3 linked regions of the Canis lupus familiaris genome follow. The protein of the gene in region 1 purifies or fractionates together with the protein of each later gene. This does not show direct contact. Links are inferred from orthologs where the notes say so. Each region holds a gene or a part of one and is shown in the gene's direction. Other genes may lie near its edges. The genes, in order: SORBS3, WASL and DLG5.

What was found.
Region 2: the proteins of SORBS3 (region 1) and WASL purify together in Homo sapiens (co-immunoprecipitation; 3 studies listed by BioGRID and IntAct, with this or other methods). This does not show direct contact. The link is inferred for Canis lupus familiaris from reciprocal best matches to the Homo sapiens genes SORBS3 and WASL.
Region 3: the proteins of SORBS3 (region 1) and DLG5 purify together in Homo sapiens (co-immunoprecipitation; 3 studies listed by BioGRID and IntAct, with this or other methods). This does not show direct contact. The link is inferred for Canis lupus familiaris from reciprocal best matches to the Homo sapiens genes SORBS3 and DLG5.

The regions. Positions count from the first base shown.
Region 1 is NC_049246.1:34,892,627-34,896,790, reverse strand, and holds the start of SORBS3 (vinexin), read left to right. Parts: upstream 1-1,236; 5' UTR 1,237-1,306; exon of another isoform or gene 1,307-1,676; 5' UTR 1,677-1,791; exon of another isoform or gene 1,792-1,893; 5' UTR 1,894-2,023; intron 2,024-4,164. UniProt on the Homo sapiens protein: Vinexin alpha isoform promotes up-regulation of actin stress fiber formation. Vinexin beta isoform plays a role in cell spreading and enhances the activation of JNK/SAPK in response to EGF stimulation by using its third SH3 domain.
Region 2 is NC_049235.1:11,772,836-11,777,002, forward strand, and holds the start of WASL (neural Wiskott-Aldrich syndrome protein), read left to right. Parts: upstream 1-1,243; 5' UTR 1,244-1,628; coding exon 1,629-1,745; intron 1,746-4,167. UniProt on the Homo sapiens protein: Regulates actin polymerization by stimulating the actin-nucleating activity of the Arp2/3 complex. Involved in various processes, such as mitosis and cytokinesis, via its role in the regulation of actin polymerization.
Region 3 is NC_049225.1:28,429,494-28,433,137, reverse strand, and holds part of DLG5 (disks large homolog 5), read left to right. Parts: intron 1-110; coding exon 111-273; intron 274-408; coding exon 409-542; intron 543-1,208; coding exon 1,209-1,355; intron 1,356-2,579; coding exon 2,580-2,763; intron 2,764-3,597; coding exon 3,598-3,644. UniProt on the Homo sapiens protein: Acts as a regulator of the Hippo signaling pathway.

The DNA.
Region 1 (4,164 bases):
TTACATCCGTTCCCTAGACATGTTGGAGGACATGTCTATTTTACTGAAATATAGTAAGTTTTTGTATATTTTACTGAAATATCATTTAAAAACTGATGCTTCCCAAGGACCAGTTTTTCTGACTTTTTTTTACATCTGCATCATAGGAAATTTCAAACTGATCAGATGACTTTTTTTTTTAATAAAAATGTAAAAACTCATCTAACACAAGCTTAAAATATACATCCTTTTTAAATCTCTGTGTTCTGAATATTTAGAGCTAAAACAACCCAATAAGCCAAGGGTGTGTGTGCGTGTGTGTTTAATGGCATGCTAAAACAAAAGCAGCCTCAGTTTTCTTTTAAAACCTCAAGGCAAACACTTGGTTAATAAGGACAGACATTGCTGTTTCACTGGCCTTTTGTGACTGGATACTGACCTGCAAACTGCAAAGTGAAAATTGTGAATCGCCCTCCGATGGGCTTGATCTGGCTCCTTGTGCAGGGGTAGAAGAATCAGACTCTCTGGGAATATCAGTATTTCTCCTATACTTCTATCTATATTTACATTGTCTTTTCTGTTCCTACACAAACAGTTGCAATTCAGTGAAGCAAGTTCTTGTCAATAGCAGACAGACATCCTAATAACTTATCCTAATAACTTAGGTATGACTTCCTGACACTGTTCAAAATAGGAAAAGAAAAATCCTTTTATTTGTTTTGCCAACAGAATATTATTATTCAATGTCATTAAGGAGCAAGGGTGGGATTTCTTAAAATCGGATAACTTTGGGGCCTTTCGGCTTTGTCATTGTCCCATATATCCTCTTCTCAGTAATTTTAAAATACAAAGTTTGAGGCAGCTGCTCTTCATAAGAAAAATAATATAAACCATGCTTACATGATATATAGCTGGGCTTACATGGTCATTACTAAAGAGTCTGTCCAGCCTCTCAGAAGGAATAAGGCTAAAATCGCTTCCCTCCACCCTCCTGTTTTATGTATATAGTGTAGCTGATTGCCAGAATTTTTGACTATTTTATCTATAAATATAAAATTCAAGCTCTTTAGAATTAACTAAGTTAAAATGGTTTAGGAAGAACTTGCCCCAGATTGACTAATTTATAAACTTTTTCTTCATATTAATTATCAGGTTTTTTCTCCAGTTTTTATATTGAAAATTATTTCTGAACCCATAAAGACTTGTTAAGACATCACTCTAGAATCCCCAATATTTATTGTAGTTGTTATAGTAACAGTGGAACCTAAGTGTTTTTCAGACATTATTCAGCTTTTTATACCTAGGCAGAAACAATTTCAGAGGAAAGGTAAACCCACAGCCCCAGTTTGGGAATGAGGTTCCAATTTCCTAAATCATTTGTGGTTATAGTGATGGATACCATCTTGTTTGGCACCTGGTCCACATCTTTCCCAAAGCCTCTATAAGAGGGAGTAGAGGGCAGCCTGGGAGACCTCATCAAGAGCCAGAGGAGGGTCTGAATGACCTGGAGGGTAGTTCCAAAGCACTATGTTGCTACAATTCCTCTTCAGCAGTAGTGTGATCAAACACTCATAGGAAAGTCAGAAGAAAGAGCAGATGTGTATAGAGGAAGAAAGTTGTGTAGTCGAAAAACAGGGCTGTTACTCTTGAGTTGTGCAGAGAACTGTGTTAACAGTAGAGCTTTGTGCCGTTGCCAGAGTGTGAAAGAGGGAACCTGTGTTACTCTGAGACTCATCACCTGCCCTGCCTATGTCTAGCCAGCCAAAGTGAATGGGGCCAGGCTTAGCTGCCTTCATCTATGCAGTCACAAAGGTAAAGATGATACTGGCGAGGATATTCCCTCCCGGGAGGCCTTGGCCTCACGCCCCAGCAACCTTGGCAAGACTTGCTAAATAACACCTTTGTCTGGGACAGGGTTATGCATCTTCCCCTCTTCTACACCCTCATGACAAGTCAAGGTGGCTTAAGATCAAGAAGCAAGGACAATGAATGTGGACCATCCCTCTGAGCAACTCTAAAGTAGGGCCATGCACACGGCCTTCCTGTAAGTTCTTGCCCCGATCCCGTTCACTTCCTTAACATAGCTGTTTCCAAATAACATTTTGTGGGGGTTTTTTTTGCATGTTAAACTGAAAGTGCATGTAATAGGGAGGAAGCCTACCATAGATTTTGATTTGCGGCAATAAAGATAGGTTTTTTGTGTCAGAGAACCTTTTTGAAGATGTCATCATGAATGCCTTACTTTTCCTTTCTCAGCGCACTGTGACCAATAGTATTTTTCCCAATGGAAATGTTAGCAGGCATTTTCCAAGAAAGCATCCCAGTTTTGCTTCCTAAATGAGGTGGTCAGACATAAATTAGCTGGTAATGTCATTTTTTAAAAGGCCTTTCTGAATGATGGATCATTTGCCTATGCTGAGAGATTATTTGCTTTATCTTGCTTTTGGTTATGTGAAAGAAAATGGTGGAAATGTTATTTACTGGCAGAAATTAACAAGTCTTTTTTGTGATCAAGAAATTAATTTGTTAAAACTTTCTTATTGTAAATTGGAAGTCATCTTAAAAAAAAAAACACTGTTAAAATTAAATGATAACCTTATTGGCTTCCTGTGTCTTTATTTCCTTTATTTCCTGGTAGAGGCACTTATATTTGGCTCTTACCCGTTTAATAATTCCATAAATCAAAGGAAAGTCTGGTGTTTGATGTCTGGTCTCTGATAAAGGAATCTCCTCACAATAAAAAAGACCTCTTCTTTCCCTTACCTCTTCAGCCCTTTCTTGAGTTTTAAATAGGCTCTGGTGACTGCAGTGTTGCCTCTCCCACTCAGAATCTACTGCCTTGCCCCACCCTCTTCCCCCGGCACTCTGCCTACCACTAACTCATGCTCCAGTCCCAGCTCCTCCTGTGGCTTTTCTGGCAGAGGCCACTACTTGTAGGAAAGGAAGAAAGAATGGAATGTCTTTCTTCTTTAGTTTTTATCTATCTTACAAAAGATAAAAATAATTTTTATTATAGTAACTTAATAATTGCAGATGATCCTAATAATAGGCATGAGTTCTATCTTGGGAAAAGTCACAGGAGCCAGAGAGGCATGGACTATGGGGCTGGACTGACAAGAAAAGGAAGTATAAGACCAGCCTTTTGATTCCTCCCCAAAGTAAAAATAGCATGAGGTGCTGTGGATTCACAAGGTAAAATAAGTAGAGGATTGAGAGGAGAGAAAGCACCCAGGGTCCTTAGGACAAATATATCAGAGGATTTTATCAGTTCTGGCAGAAGAGGCCAGACATCAGGCCTCTTAAATCCAGGCCTTGCCAGGCCTGAGTAAGGTAATTTCACTGCAAGTATAGCCCCAGCAAGGGCCACAGAGCAATTTACAGGCCAGAATACAAGCCCAGCTTCCTAATTTCAAATAAGCTGGGTATGCATTTTGGGATCTTTGTTATCCAAATAGTGTCCTGACTTGGCAATGTCCTTATACCTCAGCTAAACCATCAGTAAAATGAGGCAATGTTTGCCCTTATTTCCAGAACTGTGAAAAAAGTTATTTAAAATCCTGGAAATTAAGAACTAAAGTGCAAACTCATATTTACCTCCCATTACGTGTAGATTCAATCTCTACCTTCTTGCCTGCTGTATGTAATTATATGGTCTTCCTGGGTTTTCTATTGTGACATGCAGGTTTTAGAAAGAATTAATTTTGACCCAGTAGATTAGTAACTTAATGGCAAATTAGACAATCTTTTTAATGTTGATACAGTTTAGGAGAAGTTTCATCATAGAACTCAAGGAGGGGAAGACAAGGTTATTCTTTGTTTGGAGGCCAGTAGACACCGTGAAGTCGTGCTCTGATCGACAAATCAGCCCTCTTATCTTATCTGTTTACCTGTGCTAGGGAAGAAGGTTGATGCAGACCTAGTTTTCCAGCCCCTGCTCTGTGTGCCCGTCTTTGTGGCTGAATTAACTTGGCTGGGTTTTCCCTCTGAGGTCATCACTTATTTATCCTTCCCTCATAAAATCTACTTTCTAAAGGGGCTGACAGCTACTTGCTCTTTCTTTCTTTTCTGAGAACTAAAAGAGGTCCAGCTCAGCTCTTCTCAAAGACACCCCATGTGCACATGATGCTTGTTTGCTCATCTATAAAAGGAGAGAGAACAGTCGCTGGCGTGATGTCAGTGTAAAGG
Region 2 (4,167 bases), on another chromosome or scaffold:
AAATAAAATCATAAGAAAAGAAAGAAAGAAAGAAAGAAAGAAAGAAAGAAAGAAAGAAAGAAAGAAAGAAAGAAAGAAAAAACATAATATGATAAAATAGTATTTAATATTATAAAGATAGTATTAGGAACAAATGATTGTCTCTAGATTTATAGTTTTTAAGTTTTGTAATTTTCACATAATAGTACATATATCGTCCATGCGGCATCCTATATAGCCTAAGTAGAAATTCTGCTAAGAAATTATGCCCCCAATTTACCACTATACATTTGAAGAAATACAGAGAGTTCTAAATGCTACAGTTTTTTGAAATTTCATGCTTAGATAGCACAAAGATAAAAAATACACATTTCAACTCCACTTTTGATCCTTAGCTAAGGGAAGGGAAGCAAACCATAGGCAAAGGGAAGATAAGGACTATAGAGCAAGTAATGTTTGAGTAACCACCGTCCATCAGGTATTTCACGTATGCTTTCCGGGTAAATTTTACTACTTAGAAGTAGGTTTAGTTATCTCTATACTACACCTTTATTAAATAGGAATAGAAAGATGAGAAGGTGGGGGGGGGGAGAATATTTTCCAATTTTCAAGATGGGGAAAAACGTGTTCAGGGCACTTCAGAGAAAAGAGCCTGAATTTAAATGTTCTCAATACACTCATCCCACGCAACACTCCAGGCGAGCGGTAGAAAATTCTAAGTGCGTTTGGTTTTTGTTAACATCCATCAGCAAGCTCTTTCACAACTCCGGGAGAGAGGCCTGTGTGTTCCTCTACACCCACTGCTGAAGTTTGCACAAAGTTTGAGAAACCCCCGGCACCTGCAGCTCCGACCCAGGAGCACAGGGGAGCGCGTCACTTTCCCGTCTTCGTCTCCAGATCCTTTTGACCTGCAGTAAGAACGTCCGGCTTCTGCGCCCCCCAAATAAGAGCCATTCCGGGGAAGGGGGACCTGGGGCCGCACAAACGCTTCGCCAAGGTGTGCGTCCGCAGAACTCGCGCGGGCCACTTCTGTTTTTGGCAGACGGCGGCCGCCCGGCCCAAGCCCCGCAGAAACCAGCACGGGAGCAGGGGCCCGCACGCGCGATCCCCGCCCCCGCCCACGCGCCCGCGCCCGCGCCTCGCAGCCCGCGCCCCGGCCGGAAGTGGGCGGGGCCTGGGCCGGCGCGGTGGGCCGGCCGCGGCGTGGGGGGGGGGGGCGCTTCTCCCGGGCCCGGCCCGCAGCCGCGCGTTTCCGGCGCGCTCCCCCGCGTCCTGCGTCCTGTGGTCTCGTCCGCCCCCGCAGCCATGTTGGATTGTGCTGCCGCCACCACCGCCGCTGCCGCCGCCGCCGCCGCCGCAGGAGGGTTGGAGGAGGAGTTGGGAGTTTAGCGCAGTCGCTGGAGTACGAGGTCAACGACCATCCGGCCTGGGACTCGCCGGGCGGGAGCCGGGAGCTTCCCTTTCTTTGCGCGGCCCGTCGTTGGCTCCTCCTTCCCGCGGCCTCCTCCTCCTCCTCCTCCCCGCGCCCGAGGAGCTGCGAGATGCTGCGCCTCTGATTCCCCTCCTCCCACCCCTGTCACCGAGAGGGGAGAGAGCGCTCGCCTGCTCGCCGGAGACGGCCCCGGACGCTCAGCCCCGCCGGCGAAACCATGAGCTCGGGCCAGCAGCAGCCGCCGCCGCCGCGGAGGGTCACCAACGTGGGGTCCTTGCTGCTCACCCCGCAGGAGAATGAGTCCCTCTTCACCTTCCTCGGCAAGAAATGTGTGGTCAGTGGCCGAGACCCGCGTCGCCATCCCCGACGATACCTCACGGGCCCGGGCACGAGGGCCGGGAAGCGGGAGCGGGGACGAAGGCGGGAGCGGCGCGGGGAGGGTCCGGCCGCCGCCAGGCCTCCAGCCAGCCCGGCGCGGCGGGTGCGGGCGGTGCGGGCCGGCGCCGCCGCCGCCGCCGCCCCCCGCCTCCCGAAGCTGACCGTGAGCAGGGAAGTGTCACCTCCGCAGGCCCGCCCTGGAACCCCTCCTGGCCGGGCCCAGGTCTGCGCCCTTGCTGCTGGCTCAAACTTTGCTCTCAGGCCAAGAGGAGATTTTATTCCTGCACGAGCTGCTGGATCTTAAAAACCGGGCGTCCGTACTGGCCCTTGTTTCACCTCCTGCCGCTTGATCTGGGGGTGGGGAGGAGGCTACCTTCTTTCACAATGGCAGAGGTTTCAGAAGTGGGTAGATCGGGGAATGAAGCCCGGATATGAATGAAGCGGGCCAGAATGGGGGTTTTTGATCCCCGTTTAGGCTCCCAGGAGAAAATGAAGTCGATTGCATCGGTTCAGAATGAGGGCAGGGAATGTTGCTGCCCCCCATTGCAGAGAAACAGCGTTTTTTTTTTTTTTTTTTTTTCCTCCAGCAGCCTCACCAGGCCTGGTTTCTGCTCTCCTCTCCACTGATTTTTTTTTTTTTTTTTTTTTAACCCTTCATTGGTGGGAGGAGGTGCTGCTCTCCCCACGACCATGCGCAGGAGAACCACAGTCTCTAGTAGTTCGTGGCCTTTTGGGGCCTGAGAGTGATTCTTAGGTTGGTGCTGTGCGGCCTGTTCCAACCCCAGATGGCCGGTTGGGAGCAAGCAGTTCTGCTGTGGGAAGGGGAATGTGTGTTGTTGACGGAAGCATTCATTACATTGGCTGCTGGCACTTCTGGGGGTGGGGAGGTTCTGCTCTGTGGTGTAGGCCTCGTCTGGCTGCATCTTACTGCTGTGGCTCCGTTGAACTGTAGTCGAGTTTGCTGAAATGCTGTTTGGGTCCCTGTCTCCCCTCTTTGCGTCTTAGCACCTGCATAGTATGTGCCACTGGAAACCAGGAAACCCCTACTGAAATGTCAACAGAGCAGTACCATTTTACAGCTTCTGTTGGTAGTGTTAAATATGTCAAACGAGGCTACATCTATCTGTTTAAGAAGTTAGGATAGACAATTTCTGGAAAGTTACTCTATGGGTTAATTGTTAACTTTATAGGAGTCAGCCTTTTTGTATCCTCTTGGAGATTGAATCATTACCTTCAATTCAGACGGGCCTGGTATTTTACTGATTAGAAGAATGAAATAAGAGGACTGGCTTAAAATCAAAATTTTGGGCAACAGTTTTAAAGACAACTGTCGTGTGTGTCCGTGTCCCCTCCCTCCCTCGCTTTTGAACAAATGAGAAAACTGAGCCAGTGAACCCCAAGTCACACAGCAGTTTAGTAGGTAACCAGAACTAGAAAGCCAGGACTTTGGATGCCTAGTCTGCTGTAGTTTCCACTACATCATGTTGTTTTAGAAGGGTTTTTTTTCTTACTTGTTATTGATTTATTTCAAAAAATGGTGCAAAAGGAATAATCAGTTCTTTTTTTTTTTTTTTTTCCCCACCAAAACTTGGTATAATTAGTGTGTGAGATTCTTAAAGCAGCACTAATTTTTGTATATTTTCGATTTAGGAAAATCTCCAGCTCTTTAAACTGTTACAATATCTGCAAATGAAAAAAAAATTAAAATTTTTTTGTTTTAGTTTCATTTGCTATATGATCTGTATCAGAAAGGAAATAGTTGTTTTACGTTTTACATACCAGACACATTAAGCTTAGGCAGGAAGGACATTATATTCAAACACTAGTACACTGACTAATTGCTCTATGCTTACCTGTAATGTTTACTGGTTTCAGAAAAATGAAAGATGTGAGAGAATACTGTGATTGAGAAAGATAGCCTTGCTTTCTGGTTAGCATAAGTGGATTGCTGAATAAGCCATCAGTATTCAGTGCTCAGTATCTTTATGTCATCTATTATTAATCACCTTTACCTTTTGAATTTGGCATTTCATACACTCTTGTGGTATGAAATTGTTGTGAAGATTAATATTTGAAGTCTCCAGTTACTTGAGAGTAAAGACTATTTTGTTTTGAAAAATCCTTTTTTTCTTTGCTGACTATGCCGCTTTTTGTAGTTTAAAATTATAGTGAAATACATTATCTCATTAAAAACATCAGCAATAACATTTACAAGTCGACCGGAATTTGTTAGGACAGAAGTATATTCAGAGCCCTAAGAGTTCAAGAAATGAAACAAATAGTTGCAGTCCCAGTTCTGGAGGAGCTGCATTCCTTCTTTGACTCAACAATATTGAGTAACTAAATGTTGAGGTCAAAATCAGGGTTGATGCCTACCC
Region 3 (3,644 bases), on another chromosome or scaffold:
ATCTGGCGGTTCCCGCCCCTTTCTGCATAGCTGGTTGCATGTCTGACCTCCGATTTGCCCCAAACCTTTCCATTGTGTCCGAGTCCCCACACTGTTGGCTCTCTTCCAAGGCCCTATGTGGAGGAGCCACGCCATGTCAAGCTGCAGAAGGGCTCGGAGCCACTGGGCATCTCCATTGTGAGTGGAGAGAAAGGCGGGGTCTACGTCTCCAAGGTGACAGGGGGGAGCATCGCTCACCAAGCTGGCCTTGAGTACGGGGATCAATTACTTGAGGTAGGCGAGAACTGCCCCTCCGCACTGCATCCTTCTCTCCTACCTCTCCCCTGCTCCTCCCTTCTTCGGGAATGCTGTGCTCCCCCCGTCCCCAGCTCCCGTGACATCACTGAGTGTGCTCTGGATGTTTCCTAGTTCAACGGCATAAACCTGCGGAGTGCCACGGAGCAGCAGGCCCGGCTCATCATCGGGCAGCAGTGTGACACTATCACCATCCTGGCCCAGTACAATCCACACATGCACCAGCTCAGCAGCCACTCTCGGTCCAGGTGAGGGCCTGGGCCTCCCCAGGGGGGCCATCTGGGCCGGGGGAGGACAGATGGTGCAGCCAGGGTGCCAGCTGTGAGTTCTGGCCATTCAGCTGCCCTAAGTGGAGAGGTGGCCAGCCCTGCATTTTGGAAAAAACACATATAGGAGGAGGAAGATGCGAAGTAGGATACCTGAGGTGTGGGGTGTGGAAGCATGCAGAGCAAGAAGCCCCCCGACAGGTGTGTGGAGCCAGGAACTGAGGCCCTGAGGGTGGGATTCTCACGCAGAGTGTCCTCACACGCTGTCTGTATCTGCCCCTGAGCTGTGGGTTGCCAGGCATGTGAGAGAAGGGGGAGACATGCCCCGCCATGCAGCGCTGCACAGCTCAGCGAAAGGACAAGATGTACAACAGAGGAAGAGGGACAGTGAGTGTGTGGGCCTCCAGGCCGACACCTGAATTCAGAGAGGATCCCCAAGTTGAGGACAGGTGAGGGGGAGAGGACAGGCCGATCCTGCAGGGTCAGCGACCTGAGTCCAAGCTCCCAAGACGTCTGCTCTTCTCGGGGCTCGGAGCCATGTGACCCAGTCCCTGTTCAGAGCCCAGCCCTGGTCACCACCCGAGGGGGTGGCCATGGACAGCCGAGGACTGTGAGCCACTCCTTATTCCTCCTGACCTCCATTCCCAGCTCCCACCTGGACCCTGCCAGTACTCACGCCGCTCTCCAGGGCAGCAGTGCCCCCACCCCGGAGCATCCCTCTGTCATTGACCCGCTGATGGAGCAGGATGAGGGCCCTGGCACCCCCCAGGCCAAGCAGAGCACCCCCAGTTCCAGGTCAGCAAATCCGTGCCGTGAGCCTCCCATCTGTGCGCCCTGGCCCAGGGGGGTGGGAGGGTGGGCGGCCATGGCTGTGGCCCCAACTCATCCTGCTGCCGTCACCTGGGCTGCAGGCCATATAGCAGGTGTCAGGATTTGGGGTGGGAAGCATGCCATTCCTTTTTTCCTCTCACCCTCCTGCCCTTTCTCACTTTCTTGTTTTTTCTCTCTCTCTCTTTTTTTTTCTCATTGACTTGTTCTTAGCTCTGCCTCTCTCCTTTTCTCCTCTTTTTCTCAGTTACTCGTTTTCTCACTCTGTCTTTAGACAGAATTCCACAGTCACCACCCAGCCAGGCCCTGGGCTGTGGCCACCATCAGCAGTCGCCCCCAGGGAGCTCCAGGTTTAGAGGGTGACAGGCAAGTGTCCAGGCGTGTGCAGCACGTGCTGGGAGGGCCAGTACAGGCCACGACGGAGCAGTCAGCGAGAGTGTGGCAGGGAGCAGTGACAGTTAAGTCAACGCGTTCAGGGTGAGCAGGGGTCAGCTGTGCATACGGTGGGTGTGGAGAGAGGTCAGGAGGAGGCAGGCACGCAGCAGCCATCCTGTCATCCTGGACAGAGCTGTTTCCTTGGCCAGGGAATGTAGCCAGCCCTGTGCTCTTTGCCCTGGATCCGTCACATTGGGACTTGCCCGCCGGAGTCACAGCTGGCCTGTCCCCTGAGGTCCCCTCATCAGTCCCCGTCACCGTCCTATTTCCTCTTCCCAGCGTGCTTGCCGGTGTCTCCCTTGCTGCTTTGTGAGTTCCTTGACGGCACGCGGCCCCCTCTTCATGCTTAAGCACAGTCCCTGGGCCAGAGAAGCTGCTCTGCAAACCTTGCCAAGTGGTCTGTGGTGCCCTGGACTGTGAGGCCAGCTCTAACTTTTCTTAGGCAGAGCAGGGTTAGGAGAACAAGTGCAGTCCAGCTGGGAAGAGAGGCCGCCTATGGCACTCGACTGACAGCTGGGCCAGAAAGCAGGGGCATTTATTTCTGTTCGATCCCCCGCTGGCTCTCTCAGCTGGGGCCATGTTTTCACCTCGACAAACCTCAGCATCCAGCCCGTACACTAAGTCGCTAGAACCAGAGCCCAGATGGGACACCAGGAGACCTCAGAGGAAAACTGTCAGGGCGTTAGGGACTCTGTAGTCTTTGACACCCAGCTCGCCGCCGTGTGTGATTGAGGGACTTTATTTTCGTTCCTGAAGGATGGTGGGAGATGCCAACAAGAAGACTCCAGAGCCACGTGTGGTCTTCATCAAAAAGTCCCAGCTGGAGCTTGGAGTCCATTTATGTGGAGGGAACCTGCACGGGGTGTTTGTGGCTGAGGTGGAGGATGACAGTCCTGCCAAGGGCCCTGACGGCCTTGTGGTGGGGGACCTCATCCTCGAGGTGAGTTCTGAGCAGCCGGTGGCACGGGAGGCAGAGAGCACGGCCTCCTGCCTGGTGCCCCTGTTGGTGTTGAATGCTGCCAGGACCCTCGGGGTGGATCACAGGGCCCTGGTGACAGGAGGGAATTGGGAGGGAGAATGCTCTGCCATGTCAGCAGCAGGGCTGTGCTCTCATGGAGGGGCCCCCTTTTCCCTGGGTCTCCTGTTGAGGGGCAAGGGGACTTCACAGGAATTCAAAGACACAAGTAGCTTTTATTTTTAATTATTATTTTTTATTTAAATTCCATTTGCTAACATGTCCTATAACACCCGGTGCTCATCCCATCACATGCCCTCCTCGGTGCCCGGCACCCAGTCACCCCATCCCCCCACTACCTCCCCTTCCACAACTCTTTGTTTCCCAGAGTCAGAAGCCTCTCCTGGTTTGTCTCCCTCTCTGATGTCTCCCCACCCAGTTTCCCCCCCTTTCCTTATGGTCCCTTTCACTCTTTCTTATATTCCCCATAGGAGTGAAACCATAAGATGATTGTCCTTCTCCGACTGACTTATTTCACTCAGTGTAATACCTTCCAGTTCCATCCACGAAAGACAGAAATAGCTTCAACAAGATGAAGTGCTGTGTTTTCATAGCCCTAACTTGCTGGGAGATTAGCACAGGGTTTCTCGTGGGAGAAGCTGTTGGGGGCAGAGGACTCAGCCTTACCTGCAGAGGCGAGGCAGGCAGATTCCCGGTTAAGGGGATCTTAAATCTGCCTTCTCCCCCTACCGCCCTGTCAGGGTGCCTAAGCCGTCTCTGGCTTCTGCCCTCTGACCTCAGTCCCCTGTCCTCTGGCAGTATGGCAGTCTGGATGTGCGCAACAGGACAGTGGAGGAGGTCTACGT